3 linked regions of the Danio rerio genome follow. The protein of the gene in region 3 interacts with the protein of the main gene of each other region in a pairwise test. Links are inferred from orthologs where the notes say so. Each region holds a gene or a part of one and is shown on either strand. Other genes may lie near its edges.

Region 1 (3,959 bases), on a different chromosome or scaffold from region 3:
ACAAAGAGAATGCTGATGTCCAATTTAAAAATTGTGACTGTTCCATGATGCCCAATCAATGCAGAGTTAGAATTAGCACTGCAGAAGTTTGTTTGACAACAGAAAACTAATCCTACACTGTACAGCAACTGTCAGTGGAACATGTGACTCAAACAGTGGAAATAATTCATCATCAGCATTAGCATGTAGAGCTAATATTCTTATTAGGCCAATTACTATAACACTTAAAATCAACTCTATCTGTCACAGATCAAGGCTTTTTAATAAATGAGTACATTATGATTAAACAGAGAGAGAGTTTTTATGGTCTATATATATATATATATATATATATATATATATATATATATATATATATATATATATATATATATATATATACACACACACACATATATATATATATATATACATACACATACATACATACATACATACATACATAGATACATAAATAGATACATAGATAGATAGATAGATAGATAGATAGATAGATAGATAGATAGATAGATAGATAGATAGATAGATAGATAGATAGATAGATAGATGTGTGTGTTTTTAATCTAATGAAGACTGCAAAGTCAATGATTCATTTGAATTATTCAGCCTGACATGTTTATTCTTCCAAAATATTTTAAATATTACTCAACATAAAATATGTGTTCAATGGGGAAAAGTTTTTGTTTTTTACCCAGACATTTAAAAAGAATATATTTTAAAGCAATTATCACACCGTGAAATTTTTATCCAAGGTTATTAAAACATCAGAATCTTATATACTAGCCCATGCCAACTAATAAAACTCCAATAAATTGAAAAGCAGTTTTTTATATATATATATATATATATATATATATATATATATATATATATATATATATATAATAAAAATGATTTACTGGTTCTAAAACCCTTAATTTATAGAATCGTTATGTTCCACAAAAAGCTTAATATTATATTTATATAAAATATTCCACAGCAGGCTTTATAGCAATTAAAAATCCTTCAGAGTACTAAACAGTGTTTAAACTAAGAAAAAAAACAGTTCTAAACATTCTAAGAAAATAACAAATTGTTGCTTTTACAGCACTGCAAATTAACAACAACAAAACAAAACAAAAAAACCTTCTGCTGAGTCTTTCGCAAAGTGCAGTCAAAAGGCAACCTCAGACACCAGTTTCCTGAGGTTTCCAGAAGGGGAAAAACTGATATAGGTCTGGTTATAACCCCAGATTCACCCACACCAGACAGCTTATCCTCAGCTCTTACAAAAAATGTTTGCATGTGTGAGTTATTGACCACCATCACTATTTTACAAAAACACAGGCACAATTCTGAAGAATTATGAGGTTATTTTTAGTTTCTTAAAACAGTCCTTGTCAAATCAAAAGGAGTATGAAATGCAGGGTATTTTCTAGGAAATCCCAACAACTGAAACAGGATGTTGAAGAGCACTCATTCCACTGCAGTTATGGTGACTGCTGAGAGTATGAGCAGCAACACGAGCGGAAAGAGTATGCAACACCTTTAGCTGATGTTATCTGACTGTGGAAATTTATTTTCACTTCTTCTGCCCCACTCCATAAACATAAATATAATCAATAGTAACAAAATAAACAATGTCATTTGTTGTAGATTGATATCTGTTCCATATCTTTTACTCAATCATAATTCAGCATGTTCACAGCAGTACAGTAGAGAGATGGACAGATCAATCTACACGTGCCCAGTAAGTACTGCAGACGAATCCAAACCTGTGCAGCCTGAATCCATTCATGACTGTTTCTGCTAAGCCAGGGAATGCAGAGAGCATGTAGCTGCATGCTCGGGATGCACTTGAAGAGATAAAATGTAAACCACATCATAATATAACCCTGCAGGGCAAAACCCTCTGCGCAGATCTTCTTCTGCATGGCCACCCATAAACTAACAGAAGCAATACACAAGTACTGCAGGAGAAACCTGGTCACCTCTACAAATGAACAAATACAAATGACCTCTACAAATGAAACACCACGTTTTAGTAACTTGATGAAGAGAAATAAAATAGAAACAGATGTAAAAGCAGCATCCATGAACAAATGAAGGTCAAACCAAACAACTGCAAACTTATATATATATATATATATATATATATATATATATATATATATATATATATATATATATATATATATATATATATATATAAAACATGCATACTTATACATACATACATATTTACACACACTTTATATTCTTCTGCGTACAGATTTAGGCTACATAACGATGGATCTTATGTGCTTGTAAAGACCTTATCGTTCTTTCAAATGTAATTTTAACCTGTTGACACGCTTCCCCTTCCCCGTGTACCCCTTAAAGACACTAAAACAAAGTAACAAAGAACACTGAGCCAGGACAAAACAAGTGTCCGACATTTGCCACGCGTGTGAAGCACATTTTCCCTCATGACTTAGTAAACACCAAGCGTATTTACTTACCAAACGGCTCGGTGAACGCCTTCAAGCTCGTCATGTTCATAACGATTGTTTCACACATAGGAGAAGATCGTTGATCACCTTTACGAGACTGCTGGATGGATGGAGGTGAAGTTGTGAACCGCACCGTTGTTTACAGCACCTCACCTGTGCGCGTGCTAGTCTGGAAGAAGTCTGACCTTACACGAGAACCTTCAAACTACCTGACAACTTTCTCACGCACTTTTCTGTCTTTGCGGTTAATTTGATGTGGGAACACAGAGCTCAACTATATCTCTCCCACACTAAAGGAAATTACGTAGATCATTTACGCCATAGATAACGCCATATTTCCTCACCCCTGCCTCTTTTACACGCGCGGAACGCCCAGTTGTCATCTGAAAATCACGATTGAGTGGAGCACGCATATCATTTATTTATAGTTACCTATAGCTGAACCCTTTAAATGCCTGCTATAACAAATGGTTGACCATTTTTTGACTGTTTTAAAAATGACTGTTAAAGTCATTTTAAAAATGACTTTTTATTAATGGTTTACACACAGAGTTGTACAAACAAATCAAACAAACTCAATCCTGTTGCACTACTACACTTGATTTTGATTTTACTGTTAAAAACATGTTAATTGTGAATCTGAAATATTTTATGGCATACTTGATAAAGATGATTTAGTATTCAGAATGCTTTATTTTTTATATATTTTAAAAATAAATTGGTCTTACACTTCATATTTTCAGATTTTTCAGAGTACATTTATTAATTCCGGTACTTTTACCATAAACCGACATATCAAACCCATCCAGTGTCATCCAGTTTTTTTTCTTTTTTTGGGGGGCAGTTAAAGCGTGTGTGTGTGTGTGTGTGTACATATATAGCCCCCCCCCCCCCCCCCCCCCCCCCCCAACACACACACACACGCACACACACACACACACACACACATATACAGTGGCTGCATTTACACTGCATATCTTGATGGCCAATTCCGATTTTGTGACTGTATCCGATTTTTTTGATGACCTGCTTACATCATATTTAAAAGTAACTCATATCCGATCGTCTGCATATACACACTGAGCACACAACAAAGGCGCAATGACCAGGAAAAAAAAGCGGGCGCTGACTATAGCTGATAATTAAAGATTGCTCTTTTCTCTATCCTGTATGTAATCTCTTTGCAGCTTTTGACAGTCTGTTTTACTATAGTTTATGACAGAAATGTTCTCATTTGTCCATCTTCTTTTTACATATAGGCTTTTTAAACTTTTAGGTATGCTTACACGTACATGGGCCATATCCGATCTGTGCCACATGAGAGAAACAAAATGGAATTGAGTCACTTGAATAGTGCAGTGTAAGTGCGGGCAGAGCGAATGTTTTGGAGTGGCCATCTCAAAGCCCTGATCTCAATTCTATAGAACAGGGGTTTTCAAACTGGGGGCCGCCAGATGGCGCTAGGGGGGCCGCAAAAAAAAATTAGAT
Region 2 (3,973 bases), on a different chromosome or scaffold from region 3:
AATATTTTATTTAATAGTCTACAGAACAAACCACTGTTATACAATGACTTGCCTAATTACTCTAACCTGCCTGATTAACCCAGTTAAGTCTTTAAGGGCTCTATTTTGACGGTCCATGCGCAGAGCGCAAAACGCAGGGCGCAAATGCTTTCAGGGCATGTCAGGACGCGTTTTTGCTAATTTAAGGACGGGAAATCTGCCCTGCCCCGCGGCGCATGGTCTAAAAGGGTTGAGTTTATTTTCTTAATGAGTTATAGGTGTGTTTTGAGAATAAACCAATCAGAGTCTCATCTCCCATTCCCTTTAAGAGCCAGCTGCGTCGCGCCAAGAGCGCATTCGCTATTTACAGGACGCAAAGTAAGTCTAAGTGGAAAAAATGATCATTTCACAAGCAAACAGTTCACAGTTAACAGTTTATTAACAGAAAACTGTTAAACAGAGCATCTACTGCGTGAGAATGAGAGATAATGGATCTACTTTCACATTCGCTCTTGAATAGGGAAACCTTTACGCACAGACATCAATTAGTCTATAAATAAATAATTTTGTTTGTTAAGCGCAAAGATTTGTTTCAAAACTGTTTCTAAATTCAGTTCTAATTTCCAGCAAACGAATAAATGAACAATAATAGCAAAATGTGCTCAAAAACCTGAGTTATATCCTAAAACACATGCTGTGCCCCATATAATAAAACAAATATAAATATGGATATAATAAATAATACTGGTAATAATAATAACATTATACAGAAGCAAATTGTTATGAATGAACTGAAAAAGCCTCCGGAGATGAAGAAGGCATAAAAGCAGTGATTTTTCATATTTATGTAGGCTAGAAAATAATATGTTTTGTAATATTTTAATCCTTTATATTTATATCCTATATCTATTATTATTATATCCTATATATATCCTTAATATTTACATTTTTTCACATGTAAAAATATTTGCCTATTGCTCTCTTGTGTGTAGGCTATTAAGCAGTGTGTAAGCGAGGCGCAACTCTGCGCCGGAGTTTAGACCGGGTTAGTTTTAGTCTAATGAAAAATCTATTATAGATTCTCAAAATAGCAACGCGCCAGCGGTCCGACTCAGAACGCCTCCTTTTTAGACCAGAACGCCTATGAGCGCACAAATGAGCGCTAATGCATTTGCTATTTAAACAGCGTAGCGCAACGCCTCAAAACGACTCTTGCGCCAAGCTGAAACTACCAAAAGACTAATGCGCCACGCCTTGCGCCACACTGCGCCGGGTGTATGATAGGGCCCTAAATGTCACTTTAAGCTGAATACTAGTATCTTACTGTCATCATGGCAAAGATAAAATAAATAAGCTATAAGAAATGAGATATTAAAACTGTTTTGTTTAGAAATGTGTTGTAAAAAAAAAATCTCTCCATTAAACAGAAATTGGGGACATTTTTTTATAAAAAAAATAATAATAATTATAATAATGCTAATAATTCTGCAACTGTACGCACAACTGTACGCTAAAATGTGTGCATAATAAAATGGCCATCAGTGTGAATGTACCTGTCAGCAGAAACGCCGAGGTGTTTGTTGAGTAAACCCATGAGGAGTTTGGAGTATTGTTTATTCTGCGCGCCGCTGATCTTCCCGATGCTGGTGAGCGAGCAGAGCGCACACGGGTCTCCTTTTCCCCCGAACATCATCATCTGATCCGGCACAACCTGTACGGCGATGTACTGTCACACAGACAAACACAGAGAAACACTACAGCTCAGTACTTTATAATACAGTGCAATTAAAATAACACAATTTTAGATGTTAGGCAGCACAGTGGCTCAGTAGTTAGCACTGTGGCATCACAGCAAGAAGGTCGCTGGTTCGAGTACCGACTGGGCCAGTTGGCATTTGTGTGAGGAGTTTGCATGTTCTCCCCGTGTTTGCATGGGTTTCCTCTGGGTGCTCCGGTTTCCTCCACAGTAAAACACATGTGCCAAAGGTAAATTGAAAAATTTTAATTGGCCGTAATGCATGTGTGTGTGTGAATTAGTGTGTATAGGTCTTTCCCAGTACTGGGTTGCAGCTGGAAGGGGATTCGCTGTGTAAAACATAAGCTGGATATGGTGTGGTGGTGGAAGTGGTTCATTCCACTGTGGCTGATGAATAAGGGGACTAAGTTGAATGAAAATGAATGAATAATTAGTAAGTTCAACATGACGTTCTAGTAAATCAGTGAAATACACAAGCACGTGGTGCTGTGTAATGAGATAACGCAAATGCGTCATGACGTAAAAGAATCAATGAATCGTTTTTTGAACTGGTTCTTTCGGTTAATCGAACTGATTCACGGAAATTAGTTTGCCTTCTAATCACTTGAGCATCTTAAATCAAGACTAATTATTACGCATAATCTGTCTATATTTAATTTAAGATTAAATTTAATTAAGAACGAAAATCCGAGTCGACCTCAAGCTGCAGCTAAGAGGATAACTTGCGCTAGCGTGTATGTTTTGAAACTCGTAACAGTGCTTACAGTTTTCTATCCCATCTAAACTAATATGCAAAGTCATACGATAAAATACGGCAATAAGTAAAATAAAGTAGGTAACTAACCTGCTGGGGTTTGCCCATGGCTTTGGCGAGCTCCTGCGTGGCCTCCGACAGCAGCTCCGCCGGAACCGAGTCTTTAGCAACATTTGTGTTCACTACAAACATCGGCATGACTGCGACAGAGATGAACAAAACTACTTTACAAAAAAAGTGCAAGTCAGAAGGATCAAACTCCTGCAGGAATGACTCCAGATGTGAGGCTCTAGGTTGAAGGAGGCGGGTATTATAACGCGAAGCTAGTGTGCTTCTTGTAGACTACCGTAAAACCCCGCGTGACCCAAATAAGGATGCAGATTTGATGCAGCCTCAGCAGCGGTTGCTGCTAGAGGAGATACAGCTGCGAACGCAAGTTAAAGAGGATTATTTATTTATATTATTTATTAAATTACCCATTAATTGTATTTTACTAACGTCTATACCTTAACCATAAACCCAACCATCACAGTAATGTAAAATCAGTTAGGCTATATCGAGTATTTTTCATATTGTTTATTATTAAATTACCCATTATTACTTTTTCAACATCTACCCTTTTCCTTCGGCTTTGTCCCTTTTTTCATCAGGGGTGGCCACAGTGGAATGAACCGCAAACTTATCCAGCATATGTTTCACACAGCGGATGCCCTTCCAGCTGCAACCCAGTACTGGGAAACACCCATACACACTCATGATATGCTGTATTAATGTGAGTATCTGCAGCTGTATCCAAGACTGTACCCTCAGGGCAGCACTATGTCCTCTTTGACATAAATAACCATAAATAAACGCCAGTAAACAACTAAAACAATTAAATAAATGACAAAAATTACTTTTTTTTATTTATTAACTGTAAAAAATTATGAATGAACTGTGTTATTTTATTAATTGTTTCTTTTAGTTCTAATATTTTTATAATTTCTTTTAATTGTATTTACATTTGATTTGATTATTATTTTATTAAAGGCGCAGTTCAGCCTAAACCTTACTTAAAATAAGTTATTTAGAAGAGAAAATTTAAACCATTGACTTCGATAGTAGAGAAAAAATACTATGAAACACAATGGTTAAACAGGAGTTCAGCGATGTTATTTTGTGTTTAACAGAAGAAAGAAACCCACCAACGTATCCAGCATGTTTTACACAGCTGATGCCCGTCCAGCTGCAACCCAGTACTGGGAAACACCCATACACACTCATTCACACTCATGAAATGCTATATTTACGCGAGTATCTGAAGCTGTATCCCAGACTGTACACTCAGGGCAGCACGAGATGTGGAAACTGTCATCTTTGACATAGATAACCATAAATAAACGTCAGTAAACATCTATAACAAACAAATAAATGGCTAAAATTGCAGTTTTTTTATTTATTAATTAAGTATTAAGTTTTATTAACGGTTATTTATTGTCTGTAAA
Region 3 (4,137 bases):
CTACAGCACTACAACTGCTTACACAGTTTCGCATTTCGGTTTGGTTGTTTGTTTAAATTCTGCATTTTTATTATCTGTACATCTGTGTAACTGATTTCTTTATAAAAATAATACACATCCTCGACAAATGACAACAATGGCTTTCTTTTCTGTGACCTTTCTACCTGACTATAATTAAGCCACATTGCCAACTGTTCAATTAGTAAAAATAATTTCAGAGTCAATAAATGTGTCTTTTGAGGCCTGCTTAGTTGCAGCATTCTCCATCATAATAGGATCTTTCCCTGAGGCTCTGTTTATGTACATTTTTCAACAACAACAACAAAAAATGTGCTGGAAAAAAAGCATTACTTTACTCCAAAGTGTTTAACAAAGTCTGAAAGGCTGTAAACCTCTCCATATCCCACTCGGGGATCCATGCAGATGAAGTCATCAAGATTCATTTTGGATTCTGAAAAGGACACGTTATACATGAAAGTGGAAGAAGAAATCAAATTATAGTATTTACTGTATATAAATCTGCAATAGAAAACAAACCTGGTGTCTCTAAACATGGATATGCTGGAGGTGGCATACGCCAATTCCCATCGGAGTCCTTCATATGAGACCGATCAGAAGCAAACTCCTTCAAATAAGTGTCCCCGGGTATGACTCGAAGTTTCCTAAAAGAGCAAACAACACTTTGATTACATTCAACTAAGACTGGCTATTATTATTATAAGGGTCAAAGACATAAAGGAGTTTAAGCATTTGTTAAAAAATATATATATAAAAATAATATTATTTAATGCAAAAGTAAATTAATTGACTATTGTCCATCACCACAATTTACATAAGATGACCTCTAAAATGTAGTTAAGTGTAACAGTAGTTTAAAATACTAAGTTATATTTAAAACAAGAATAATGTGAGGCCATACTAAATGGATAACAATGCAGCCTCAAAATACTAATTCATATTAAAATCTTCATTCAATTTTGTCCTCACATTTTATGATGTGCTTTTCTTTTATAAATTTATTAAGTACTTGTTACACTTATGTTATTTCATCTTTTGTAGAATGCAGATTAGACCAGATAATACTTGCCTCCAGTAAGCAGGTTTCAAATGCTTGTCAGACTGAAAGGCCTCCATTGAATAAACGTCAAGCGAACAAGGAAATGGAAGAATGGTGTCTAAATCGTAAATGAAGCTCGGTCCTTGTTTACTTGCGTGTAGAAGAATAACATGGTAATCCTAAATGGAAAACAACATTTTTATATCAATTAGAGACTACCATAAAATATGCATAGTTTTTATACATATAAAGTTCCTACCCAAATTACTGGTTCATCCCCTCGACTGGACTTTTGTTTCCAAATAGGTATCTGAAATATTACACAATTTTTAACACACATACATACTATATATACACTCATTGGCCCCTTTTGTTTGGCACACCTTACTAGTACCGGGTTGGACCCTCTTTTGTCTTTAGAACTGCCTTAATCCTTTGTGGCATAGATTCAACAAGGTACTGGAAATATTCCTCAAGAGATTTTGGTTCATATTCACATGATAGCATTACACAGTTGCTGTGGATTTGTTGGCTGCACATCCGTGATGCGATTCTCTCATTCCACCACATCCCAAAGGTGCTCTACTGAATTGAGAGCCGGTGACTGTGGAAGTCATTTGATTACAGAACTTCATGTCATGTTTTACAAACCAGTCTGAGATGATTTGCGTTTTATGACATGGTGCGTTATCCTGCTGGAAGTAGCCATCAGAAGATGGGTACACTGGTCATAAAGGCATGGACATGGCCAGCAACAATACTCAGGTAGGCTGTGGCGTTGACACAATGCTTAATTGGTACTAATGGGCCCAATGTGTGCCAAGAAAATACCCCCCATGCCATTACACTACCACCACCTGAACCGTTGATACAAGGCAGGATGGATTCATGCTTTCATGTTGCTGACGCTAAATTCTTACCCTACCATCCGAATGTTGCAGCAGAAATTGAGACTTATCAGACCAGACAACGCTTTTCCAATCTTCTATTGTTCAATTTTGGTGAGCCAGTGTGAAATGTAGCCTCAGTTTCCTGGTCTTTGCTGACAAGAGTGGCACCCATGTGGTCTTCTGCTGCTGTAGCCCATCTCCTCAAGGTTCGAGGTTCAAAGTTACTGGAATCACCTTTCTTTCCCATTCTTATGCTTGGTTTGAACTGCAGCTGATCGTCTTGACCATGTCTACATGCCTAAATGCATTGAGTTGCTGCCATGTGATTGGCTTATTTTTGCGTTGAGCAGCAGTTGGAAAGCTGTACCTAATAAAGTGACCGGTGACTGTATACGTGTGTGTGTGTGTGTGTGTGTGTGTATATATGTATATATATATATATATATATATATATATATACATATATATATATATATATATATATATATGTATGTGTGTGTGTGTGTGTGTGTGTGTGTGTGTGTATGTATGTATATAACAGAAAACTGTACATTTCATTAAATGTAAAATACTTGTGTGGAGATGAAGCTCACCTTCTTTCTTTCATTAGATATAAATACTGCATACACCTCTTCCAAAGGACAATGTCTCTGATTCTTGATATATTCACACAATTTCCACACATTCTCCTCACTGCAACAAACATTTAAATACGTGTATGAATACGGTACGTTTTAAATTTGAAATAATGTTACAGGTATTATCGCATTTACCAGTAACAGCTGGTGTAAACACATTGGTTTCCGGACGGGGTGATCACTTTATATTCAGACGAAGCGCTTTCTTCATTCATTCTTTCCTTCCTTATATACGTGTATATACAGTAGGTTTACGCGGACTTCCAGTTATAACGACATGACAAAAGAATACATGTGTATAATGATACCATAGATATTTACATTAATATTACAATGAAGCGATTCGCGTTGCAACCGCACTGTTGCTTGTTACAATGTATCTTGTCCGTAAGGAACTTCAGGGGATTTGTCGTTCCGGCGAGACAGGTGATGCGCGAACATTCACTCCTTATGTGAATTGCAAATGTAGCACTTGCACGATTATCAGCATAAATATTAAACAGTCTAACTTTCATAAAGCATAAGTAGAAAACACGTTAGCGAAAGATAACGTGCAGTTAGGCATCGTTCTCAACTCAATACAATTAGCCAATGTATTGGTTTCTAATTTCAGAGTATCTGATTGTATTTTGTTGCACGTTAATTCGTTTTTTGCCACATACTTGTATAAATGTTTGTGGATATCTATAAATTTTTTTTGTGAACTATATTTTGTTTTAAACTGAAAATGTGTTTCTGTTTCTAATGCATGTTTATCTCAAACCCTTTCATTTCTCTATACATGTTCACTCATTATAGAGTCCTGACAATATGTTTCAAACTATCAGTCCATTCAAATTGTCTACCAAAACCACAGTATGAGTTAATATTAAGGAGGTTAGCACATAGTCTAAATGAATAACTATGTAGTCTTGTCAAAAGTTGTCTTGGTTCACACTTGCTTTGGTCATAAAAAGCCACAAAATGTTCTAAATATATATGCGTACAAGATGTCTTTTGTAAAATAAGGTAAATATTTTTTTGGATTAAATATATCACATTCTGAGAGATGTATTTATTTACTTGTACAACTGTTTTATTACACTTTTTATTGTTTTCATAGGCTAAATCCCCATTTCTGAGCCACAAATAAACAGCTCTTTACACTTTTACCGTTTAAGAATCCACTATTTGCTAACGTGTTTGTTTAAAATGAAATTTGATAACATTCAAATACTTATGATGTTATAAAGTAAGCTAAACCAACAAATATTAACCATATTCTTTTAACAAGATGTATAGGGCCACCTATGTTTTGAGGTGTAGCCATCAGAAAAAGCCCACCATTAACACCTCGTTTTTAGGAATGTCTTTTACTAATGATCTCATTAGCACTTGTGGACCCACTGATTTGAGAGCTGGTGAACTGGAAAAACCACGAATAAAATAGTTGAAATTGCACTTTATTTTTGTTACTTTTTAATAAAATGATCTTTCTTTCTATTTGACTGTAATGCTTTGTGTACTTAACATAGTGTAAACATAGACACTTTTCTTATGCAAAAAAATAATA

Evidence for each region.
Region 1: the proteins of ntaq1 (region 3) and edaradd interact in binary tests that used the Homo sapiens proteins (3 or more experiments, as listed by UniProt). The two-hybrid records come from large-scale screens. The link is inferred for Danio rerio from reciprocal best matches to the Homo sapiens genes NTAQ1 and EDARADD.
Region 2: the proteins of ntaq1 (region 3) and mif interact in binary tests that used the Homo sapiens proteins (3 or more experiments, as listed by UniProt). The two-hybrid records come from large-scale screens. The link is inferred for Danio rerio from reciprocal best matches to the Homo sapiens genes NTAQ1 and MIF.

Annotation. Positions count from the first base shown.
Region 1 is NC_133192.1:23,889,695-23,893,653, reverse strand, and holds the start of edaradd (ectodysplasin-A receptor-associated adapter protein), read right to left. Parts: upstream 2,801-3,959; 5' UTR 2,539-2,800; coding exon 2,481-2,538; intron 1-2,480. UniProt on the Homo sapiens protein: Adapter protein that interacts with EDAR DEATH domain and couples the receptor to EDA signaling pathway during morphogenesis of ectodermal organs. Mediates the activation of NF-kappa-B.
Region 2 is NC_133189.1:53,749,592-53,753,564, reverse strand, and holds the start of mif (macrophage migration inhibitory factor), read right to left. Parts: upstream 2,801-3,973; 5' UTR 2,688-2,800; coding exon 2,580-2,687; intron 1,706-2,579; coding exon 1,533-1,705; intron 1-1,532.
Region 3 is NC_133194.1:37,454,580-37,458,716, reverse strand, and holds ntaq1 (protein N-terminal glutamine amidohydrolase), read right to left. Parts: upstream 2,801-4,137; coding exon 2,721-2,800; intron 2,641-2,720; coding exon 2,541-2,640; intron 1,368-2,540; coding exon 1,317-1,367; intron 1,237-1,316; coding exon 1,088-1,236; intron 663-1,087; coding exon 538-662; intron 452-537; coding exon 348-451; 3' UTR 332-347; downstream 1-331. UniProt on the Homo sapiens protein: Mediates the side-chain deamidation of N-terminal glutamine residues to glutamate, an important step in N-end rule pathway of protein degradation.